Linked DNA regions of Cricetulus griseus. The protein of the gene in region 1 interacts with the protein of each later gene in a pairwise test. Links are inferred from orthologs where the notes say so. Each region holds a gene or a part of one and is shown on either strand. Other genes may lie near its edges.

What was found. The genes of interacting proteins can lie anywhere in the genome.
Region 2: the proteins of Esrrg (region 1) and Nr0b1 interact in binary tests that used the Homo sapiens proteins (3 or more experiments, as listed by UniProt). The link is inferred for Cricetulus griseus from reciprocal best matches to the Homo sapiens genes ESRRG and NR0B1.

The regions. Positions count from the first base shown.
Region 1 is NC_048598.1:6,844,021-6,848,109, reverse strand, and holds the start of Esrrg (estrogen-related receptor gamma), read left to right. Parts: upstream 1-1,278; coding exon 1,279-1,334; intron 1,335-4,089. UniProt on the Homo sapiens protein: Orphan receptor that acts as a transcription activator in the absence of bound ligand. Binds specifically to an estrogen response element and activates reporter genes controlled by estrogen response elements.
Region 2 is NC_048604.1:82,193,703-82,197,720, forward strand, and holds the start of Nr0b1 (nuclear receptor subfamily 0 group B member 1), read right to left. Parts: upstream 2,825-4,018; coding exon 1,645-2,824; intron 1-1,644. UniProt on the Homo sapiens protein: Nuclear receptor that lacks a DNA-binding domain and acts as a corepressor that inhibits the transcriptional activity of other nuclear receptors through heterodimeric interactions.

The DNA of each region.
Region 1 (4,089 bases):
GTATGAGTATGTTCCCTGGTTCGGAAGCCTATATTGAAATAAGTATACACTTCAGGATAGTTTCAGTGCCTTGCTTCATGGTCTTCCCACAACAACTGTATGTCCATTTGATCAAAATATACTGATATTTAATTAAGGTGTTGGCTGCCCCAGCCCCAGCCCCTAGTCTTCCTCTCCAAACCTAGAGAGAGAAGGGACAATACACCATGCATTTATTTATCTTTTATTTACCTTTGCTTTAAAAGGCTGTGCGGACTGGAGAGAGAGAGAGAGAGAGAGAGAGAGAGAGAGAGAGAGAGAGAGAGAGAGAGAGAGAGAGAGAGAGAGAGAGACAGAGACAGAGAGAAAGAGAGAGAGAGAGAGAATAGAAAATGTTTACCCCTCTCCAACTGCATCCATGCACTCTTCCCTCTTCTGTACAGCTATGAAGCTACTACCTTCCACCCCAGAGGGCTCCACCAGTCAGTTCTTAGGCTGAAATCATGTCGAAGAATCTCTTATTTTATTTTTTAAATGCTCTTTATATTAGGACACAGCAAAGAAAGGTATCAGTAGAAGCTAATGAGAAAGTAGAGCGCACACACCAATCGTAATAATAAAAAGAAATAAAAAGAAGCTGCCCCGGCTGAGCACTCGATACACACAGTGAGGCAGGATAAACTTCTGCAGCACCTCTCGCAGAATCCGTCGGCCAAATTTATCGAATTGGCATGAGTTCTTCTTTGCAAAAACAAAATAGATCTGAGGTTAGAAAAACCAACAGCAATTCGCTCCGGTGTAGAGTGAGTTAAGTTAGTTATGGTAGGTATTTTTTCCCCTTTCTTTCTTTTCCCTTACTTTTTTTTTTTTTTTTTTTAAGCTTCTCGGGCGTGTGGGAGGGTAGGAATTAAAAGAATAAATACGGGAAAGCTGCGGCTCGCATGGGGCTTTTGCAGCCCGGCTGCAGCTTTGCCCACCGTGCTCCGGGCGTGCGCCCTGCCTACCTGCGGGCTGCGGCTCCGGAGGCCTCGCGTCGCCTCCCTCCTGATTGGGCAGCGGCCCCCCAATCAGATGCGCTCCTGGGCCGGTGGGACTGCATATGTAAAGCCCTACTTCATATTAATAAGCTCCAATCGGGGCTTTAAGTCCTTGATTAGGAGAGAGTGTGCGAGCCTCGGTCCCAACTGGCCGTGCCTATGGGCTTGTCACCGGGAGAACGCGCGTGTTAATTGCACCGGGCTGTGTCAAGGAAACTTTGATTTATAGGTGGGGTGCACAAATAATGGTTGCCGGGCGCACATGGATTCGGTAGAACTTTGCCTGCCTGAATCTTTTTCCCTGCACTACGAAGAAGAGTAGGTACCTTTTTTTTTCTTTCTTTTTGCAACTCGGCGTGGGGGGGGGGGCGGGTGGGGGTGCGTGTGTGCGGGAGCGTGGACAGGGCGGCGTGTGTGCACGCGGACCCACGTAGTGGCCTGGGTGTTTGGCGTGCGTGGGTGCTTGTTGGTGTCTGTCTGGTGCCTTTTGTGTGGAGGGTGATCTCCTAAATCAGTAAGTGGAGAATTGTTCTCTGACTACGGTGTTACCTTTGAGGCAGCCCTGTGACTGTCACTAAAACAGCTGGGTGACAGTCACTTCTCTTTCAGGTGCTAAGAATAGGCTCTGGGCACCAATGCTCAGTGAACTGTTAAAATGCATCTTTTACCCAGACCCATTTTCCTTAGGAAAGATGTTTTAAAATACAATATTCAGAATGATTTATACTACTGAGTGCTGCTTATGTATTTGCAGTTTGACAGATACTTGAAACTCCCTGTCACCCTTTACTGCGAGGAGTTAGAGGCAAAATTGTACATTTATTAATTCTCCTGCAGAGAACGATTTAGCAACTAGCCCAGTGCCGCTCAGAGCTAGGGTAATGGTATTTATGTGGTTAGCATTAAGTCAGTACTTAACTGGCAAATCAGTCCGTTAAGTAACATGAGATTGTCACACATTATAAATATTTAAAGGGGAGAGAACTGAAGAAGAAACATTAGTGACTTAAAAAAAAAATCTTCCCTTAAATAGGCAGTGTGCATGTCCTGGGTTTGGATTATGTATCATATTGTGTCCAGAAACATATAAAAAGAGCAGTATACTTCTTTAAATGCAGTTCAATCCTATTTATGAATACCTTCCTGGATAGTCTATATGTTTAGATTATTAAAGGTCCATGGGGAGTGAGTTGGAGTAGGGAAAGCAAACTGGGTATTCCCGTGTAAATGAATAGGTCATAAACTTAACTTCAACTCACTGTTTAGCTAGAATATCCCTCGATCACGAAGCTGTCAGTGGTCTCTTTTGCTTTCTGTTGAGTCAGTTAGATGGCTTTCGCATTACAGTAAACTGTTATAATTTTTAAAAGAGTGCTCTTGGCAAACCTTTCTCTTGATAGGTTGTGAAGGAAATAACAGAACTCTGGGCTCCTGGGCTGTGTGTTGGTGGTAGAAGTCCACTAACTGTCCTTAGTGGACTGTCCTTTCCTTTGCATCATAATTGAGAGATGAAAAGTGGCTAGCAGTCTCTCGTTGCCTGTGTGTGTTTGAGCGTGTGTGAGTGCACACACATGCACACACGCACACACTCTCACAGGAACTATTAGCTGAGACTGGGATCTGAAACATTGAGAGGCTGTCTCTGCATCTGTTTGAAACACTCGAGGGAAGAGCCAACCTTACAATGCTCAAGAATAAAAATGAAATACAAACAAAGGTAAGACTGCCCACACAAGTACAGTGAGAAGGTCGGTGCACCTGGGCTGTAGACTGGGAGAATGGTAATGTCAGTGAGAATGCCTTAAGCTCACCCAAATTCTGAACTTTGTTTCCTAAATAAATAATCAGAGCAAACTTTAAATATCCCTCCAAAGGGTTCATGGAAAAAGTAGTATCCTTGAATCTAACTTCTTATAGCTAGTTTGAATAATTAGTTAAAATAGGCTTCTTAGAGCAGACGTGTTTAAATGGAACCAGGGCACATTTCCTTTTGGCTTTGGCACAAGATTCAAACTAGCTCTTTCTATCTTTCTGTCTGTCTGTCTTTCTTTCTTCCTTCTTTCCTTCCTTTCTTTTTGGTTCAATTAAAAGTCATCTTTAAAAAATACAGATTTATTGTGTGGGTGCAGTTGTGATGTTTACGTGGTTCACTGGACAGACTGAAAGATCCAGGGCTGAGCAACGCATCTGCCTTTCTGTCTCAATTAATAAACCACAGAATTTATACATGCTATTAATATTCATAGTAATTGTGCCGGTTTCAACCCCATCACGTGTGTATACACTGAAATGAAACCTGAGTTATGCAGTTTCCAAGGAAAATATTGGACCATTTCTTCTTGGGAGGCTGTTAAAAAGATTCATGCAATTTATTGACCACCATTAAGAGATCTTAAAATGTTAACCTTTAACTATGTAAGTACATACATTTTTTTTTTATTTTAGGAAAGGCGCCAGCACTTTCAAGAACACAATGCTGTAAGGCTTGTTTCCTACTGAATAGCAGTAATAGCTGATAGCATAAATAGACGGAAATAATGTATCTGCTGGTTTTGACATATGTGTCTGTGTAATCATTCTAAATGAGTGCGCTCGTCACACGAATCCCTTTCAACCTCTGATTAAAATGTAACATTGACTACAGGATTATAGAGCGGACTTAATTTTACTGACTGTTTTAACAGTTGTCACAGCTGTTGGGAGAAGGCAATTGAAACACTCCAAAACAGACAAGAAGGGGAGGCAGCAGTTTAGGAAATTCCAGCTTGATTCTTGAAATCCAGACACTGAACATTTAGCAGTTTCATGTTTGTAAGGATCCCTGCTCAGAGCTATGCAAATTTTATTGTGTATGGTTTCCTGTGTTTCAGGGTGTTGATTTTTATTTTCCTCTCGGACTCATGTCTTCTCAGGAAAAGCTAACCTGAATTGAAATAGACTTCTTCCAAAGTGATACTATCATAGGGAAATGCAAAGAATAAAAATAAGAAAGAAACCTGTGTAGAATCATAGAAGCAACAGAAGCATAAATCGTAATAGATACTATGGGTACTATTTTTTTAAAGGGGAAAAA
Region 2 (4,018 bases), on another chromosome or scaffold:
GTGTAACATGATTCAAAAGCAACTTCAAAACAGATTTGGTTTAAATGATGATATAACTTTCCTTCCTTTTTCTACAAAATTCAACACATGATTATTTTAAAGGCATCATGCTTTAAAAATAATAATCTTGATAGAAAAGAAACATTCCTATTATAGGCAAATAATAAATCATAAAAAGCAACACAATATGGAAACATTTCTTATCTAGATTATAATTCAGATTACAACAGCCCATGTAGTAACATCCTGCATTCTATTTCTATCCTGATACCAAAGGTTTGATCCCACTGAGAAAGTTTCTCTAGGTCTACACAGACTTGTGGTTTGCCAAAGCTTCATTTTGTGAAGGCACCCATTACATTTCACAACACAGTCCCTGGCCCTCTCCTTAAAGTAACTATTTTTTTCTTTGCAATAAAAATTCTTTTTTATGATACAAACTAAGAGGTTTACTTATGGCTATCTCATTCACACTGTTTTGTTTGGTCCTCCTTTCCAACTCCTCACATCTTCCTGTCCCACTCCCCCCCTACTTTTACCTCTCCACCCCCACAAAACTTCTCTTCAATGTAAAGACAGAAAAAAAGGCAGATGGACTCCACAGTTTACATATCTCCTTATCCTTTACTTATCTCCTTATGTTAAAACCCATTTGTATATCTATATCCAATATAAACGTTGTGTATCTTTGTTATATATAAACATAAAGACAAGGGGATGCAGAAAGGTAATCAGGAAAGAGAGGCCACACATTTTACAGATGTTACATTGTGCACAAATGTGGTTGCATTACTATTTAAAAACACACTTTGGCAAGATAAATTCCCATTGAGAGAGAACTAAAAAAATAGAGGAAGAATGGGAAGAATGAGGGAGGAGATAGAGAGGGTGGAGGAGAGGGAGGGAGAGGGACGGAGAGAGAAAGAGGGAGGGAATGAGGTGTGTGTACACGTGTGTGTGTGTGTGTGTGTGTGTGTGTGTGTGTGTGTGTGTGTGTGTGTTAAGGGAGGCAAAGGATGTGAAACAGGGTCAAGGCAATTGGGAAACTACTGGAAATAGCGACTTCTGAAAGCTGAGACCTTGGTCTCCACTTTGAATCTCAATAGTGCAGGAATAACAATTGGCCGAAAGAATGAGAAAACTGTCAGATGGCCTCAAGAATCACCTGAGCCACTTGTATTTGCAGACTTGCAGAATCTGGACTGGGCTGAACTATTACCTTCAGAGGGGAGGAGCTTGGGAAGACAAATCACCCTGCACCCAACACAAGCTCTTCTTAAAGGGAAATTTGGAAAACAGTAACTTAAGAAGAACTTGTGTGAAAAGAGCAAAAACTTTGTTTTTAAGTTATGCTCTTGGACCTCAGAGACGGCTAAACAAGGAAGAGAGAGCCATGTCCCACGAAGATAATAAAAGTAGAGCTCCAAGTAAAAGGCTTTCTCCTCACCCACCCCATCCAGTACCGAGTTTCTGGCAGAAACTCACCCACTTTGGGATGTGTTCATCATTAGCTTTGCAGAGTCTGTCACGAGGCTTCACGTGGGCTCCAACACACCTACAGCCACTGAAAACTCCTAAGTGCCTGTGTGTAGGGGTGTTGCTTTTGTGACCTAGAGAGGTAATGGAAAAGGCTGCCATGCTTACCTGGGTTAAAGAGCACGGCCCCCTTCAGATAGGCATATTCCTTGGTATCGATGTTCAGACTCCAGCACTTGAGAAAGAAGCTCTTTATGGCTTGGATCGCGGCGGCCGAGGGCAGGTGTCCAGCCTCCGCAGTGGACACCATCTGTGGCTGCTCTTTGGCCAGGGGATCTGCGGGCTCAGCACCCTGGGTCTCCTGCTGCCTGGTGGTGAGCGTCTTCTGCAGTACGCTAGGTTCGGAGATCTCCATCATTTCGATGTGCAGGTGATCCTGGGCCAGCTCAAGCATGAGTAGGGGCGCCCAACAGCTCCGCACCAGCACCAGCTGCTGATCCAGGGGCAGTATCTGGAAACAGGGCAAGTACTTGACAAAGCGCAGTGTCTTCAGCAGGCCAGCCGATGCTGCCTCGCACACCACCTGTGGATTCTTGAGAGTCAACGGACGCTGCACTCCAGAAGAGGCGTCCCACCAGAGGGCCCTAGGCTGCTCTTCCGGAGCCCGGGGCAGTTGATCTGAGCTCCCGGGTGTGCCACAGGCTAAGCTGCTCTGCTGGGGCTGCTCTTCACCGCACACGTAGCTGCGGTACAAGAACGCCATGGCCTGTGCGCTCTGCAGCCCCTCTGGGTCATCCATACTCTCCGTACAGTAAGACAGCTGCCACCATTCGCCTCCGCGACGTGCCTCGGACGCTTCCGGAGACACGTGCGTCTGCTTGGCGCTAGTGAGCAAGCTGTACAAGATGCTGCCCTGCTTCGGGTGCTCTTCTCCGCAGAAGCAACAGCGGTACAGGAGCGAGGCTGCCCGCCTGGCCGGTGTCCCCTCTCTACTCACCAGGGGTTCGGGGCTGCCGCAGGCACAGCCCCAGCACGGGGCTCCGAATCGCGCCCTGGACGCCTGGGTCCCTGAGCCTGACTGCTTGGCGCTAGTGAGCATAGAGTAGAGGATGCTGCCCTGGCGCGGGTGGTTCTCCCCGCAAAGGCAGCAGCGGTACAGGAGGGACGAGGTTTGCCCTCCGGGCAGTCCCTCCTCGTCCCCGATGGACTGAGCACCGCAGGCACAACCCCAGCACTGAACCCCCAAGCGCACCTTGGGCTCTACTGGAGCAGCCGCGTGCTTCTGCTTCGCGCTCATCAGTAAATTGTAGAGGATGCTGCCCTGCAACGGGTGGTCCTCACCCGCCATGGCCCGAGGCTCCTACAGCCCGTTCTGCCCAGTGGCTGCCGCCTGGGACTTATTTATACTGAGCGCGCACGCAAGCGCGTCCGCCTCCTCCGCCAGGACAAGGGCGCAGAGGGGGACGCGCCATTGCGCTTGAATGTGCGCGCTCATGACCTCGGAAGTTCAAAGGGGCAAAGAATCCTTAGAAACTGGAAATCCAAGGGGAACTTCTCAGCGCTGGAGATCGTGGACCCTCTCTTCCTTCCTCATTTTATCCCTCCTTCCCCTACCTGGGAAAGAGGAGAGTAGCGAACCTGGGGAAGCAAGTTAGGGCTCTGTTCCAACTCTTGCTATTGGACTCCGATGTCTAATTTATTCCCTTTATCGGAGGAAGAAGTACTTAAAAGAGAAAATATTCCATTTCTATGGAATCTTTGTAAACTTTTATGGAACGATTACAATTTGTATAACTTGCATTTTGTATAATGTTTGGAGAGTGAGATCTCATTTTAAGACCTTGAAAAGTGTAAACCCATACTAGTAGCTTCAGCATCGCACCAACAGTCTGAAACACCTTCCCTTCAGCTCCAGCCAAACTGCCTGAGTGTGAGTTTCAATGAAATCCATCTCCTGGCTATACATATGCACCCTAAAATTGAAAATCATTGGTGGAAGCAGGCAATAATGCTCAGTTTAATTCAATCAACCACCCACTGTGCCCGGGATGCTTGGATCAAGGAGCTGGGGGGCTGCAAACGTTATGTACTTGTAGCTGAATCTTGGGAACACAATAATCACAAGATTGTTACTGTGAGAACCTTTCATGCTTTTGAGAAGCAGAAAGCTGATAACTGTTCCTGTTCCCAACCATCCTAAGATACTATTGACAAATAGAAGAAAGCCTGAATGCTGGCATTTGTCACGGAGCCTCCTTTCACGTCAGACAGACATGAGACCAGGGGCCTCTTTCTAGTCAACCATGCGACTTGTGTCTTAACTTGATAATTCTTACACCCATTAGCTCCCTCACTTTAAGAGCGTAAGCCTTACTGGTCAGGAGAGGGGATTAGAGCACACCAGTTGGTACGGGACCTCTCTCTCTTCCATTCTCCCTCTTGGTTTTCTGTTCCCCCCCACACACACTCCCCTTTCAGTTATGTAGGGTCACTGAAATGTAAGAAAATCGAAGACACCTTCAATTTCCCCCTTTTCTTTTTG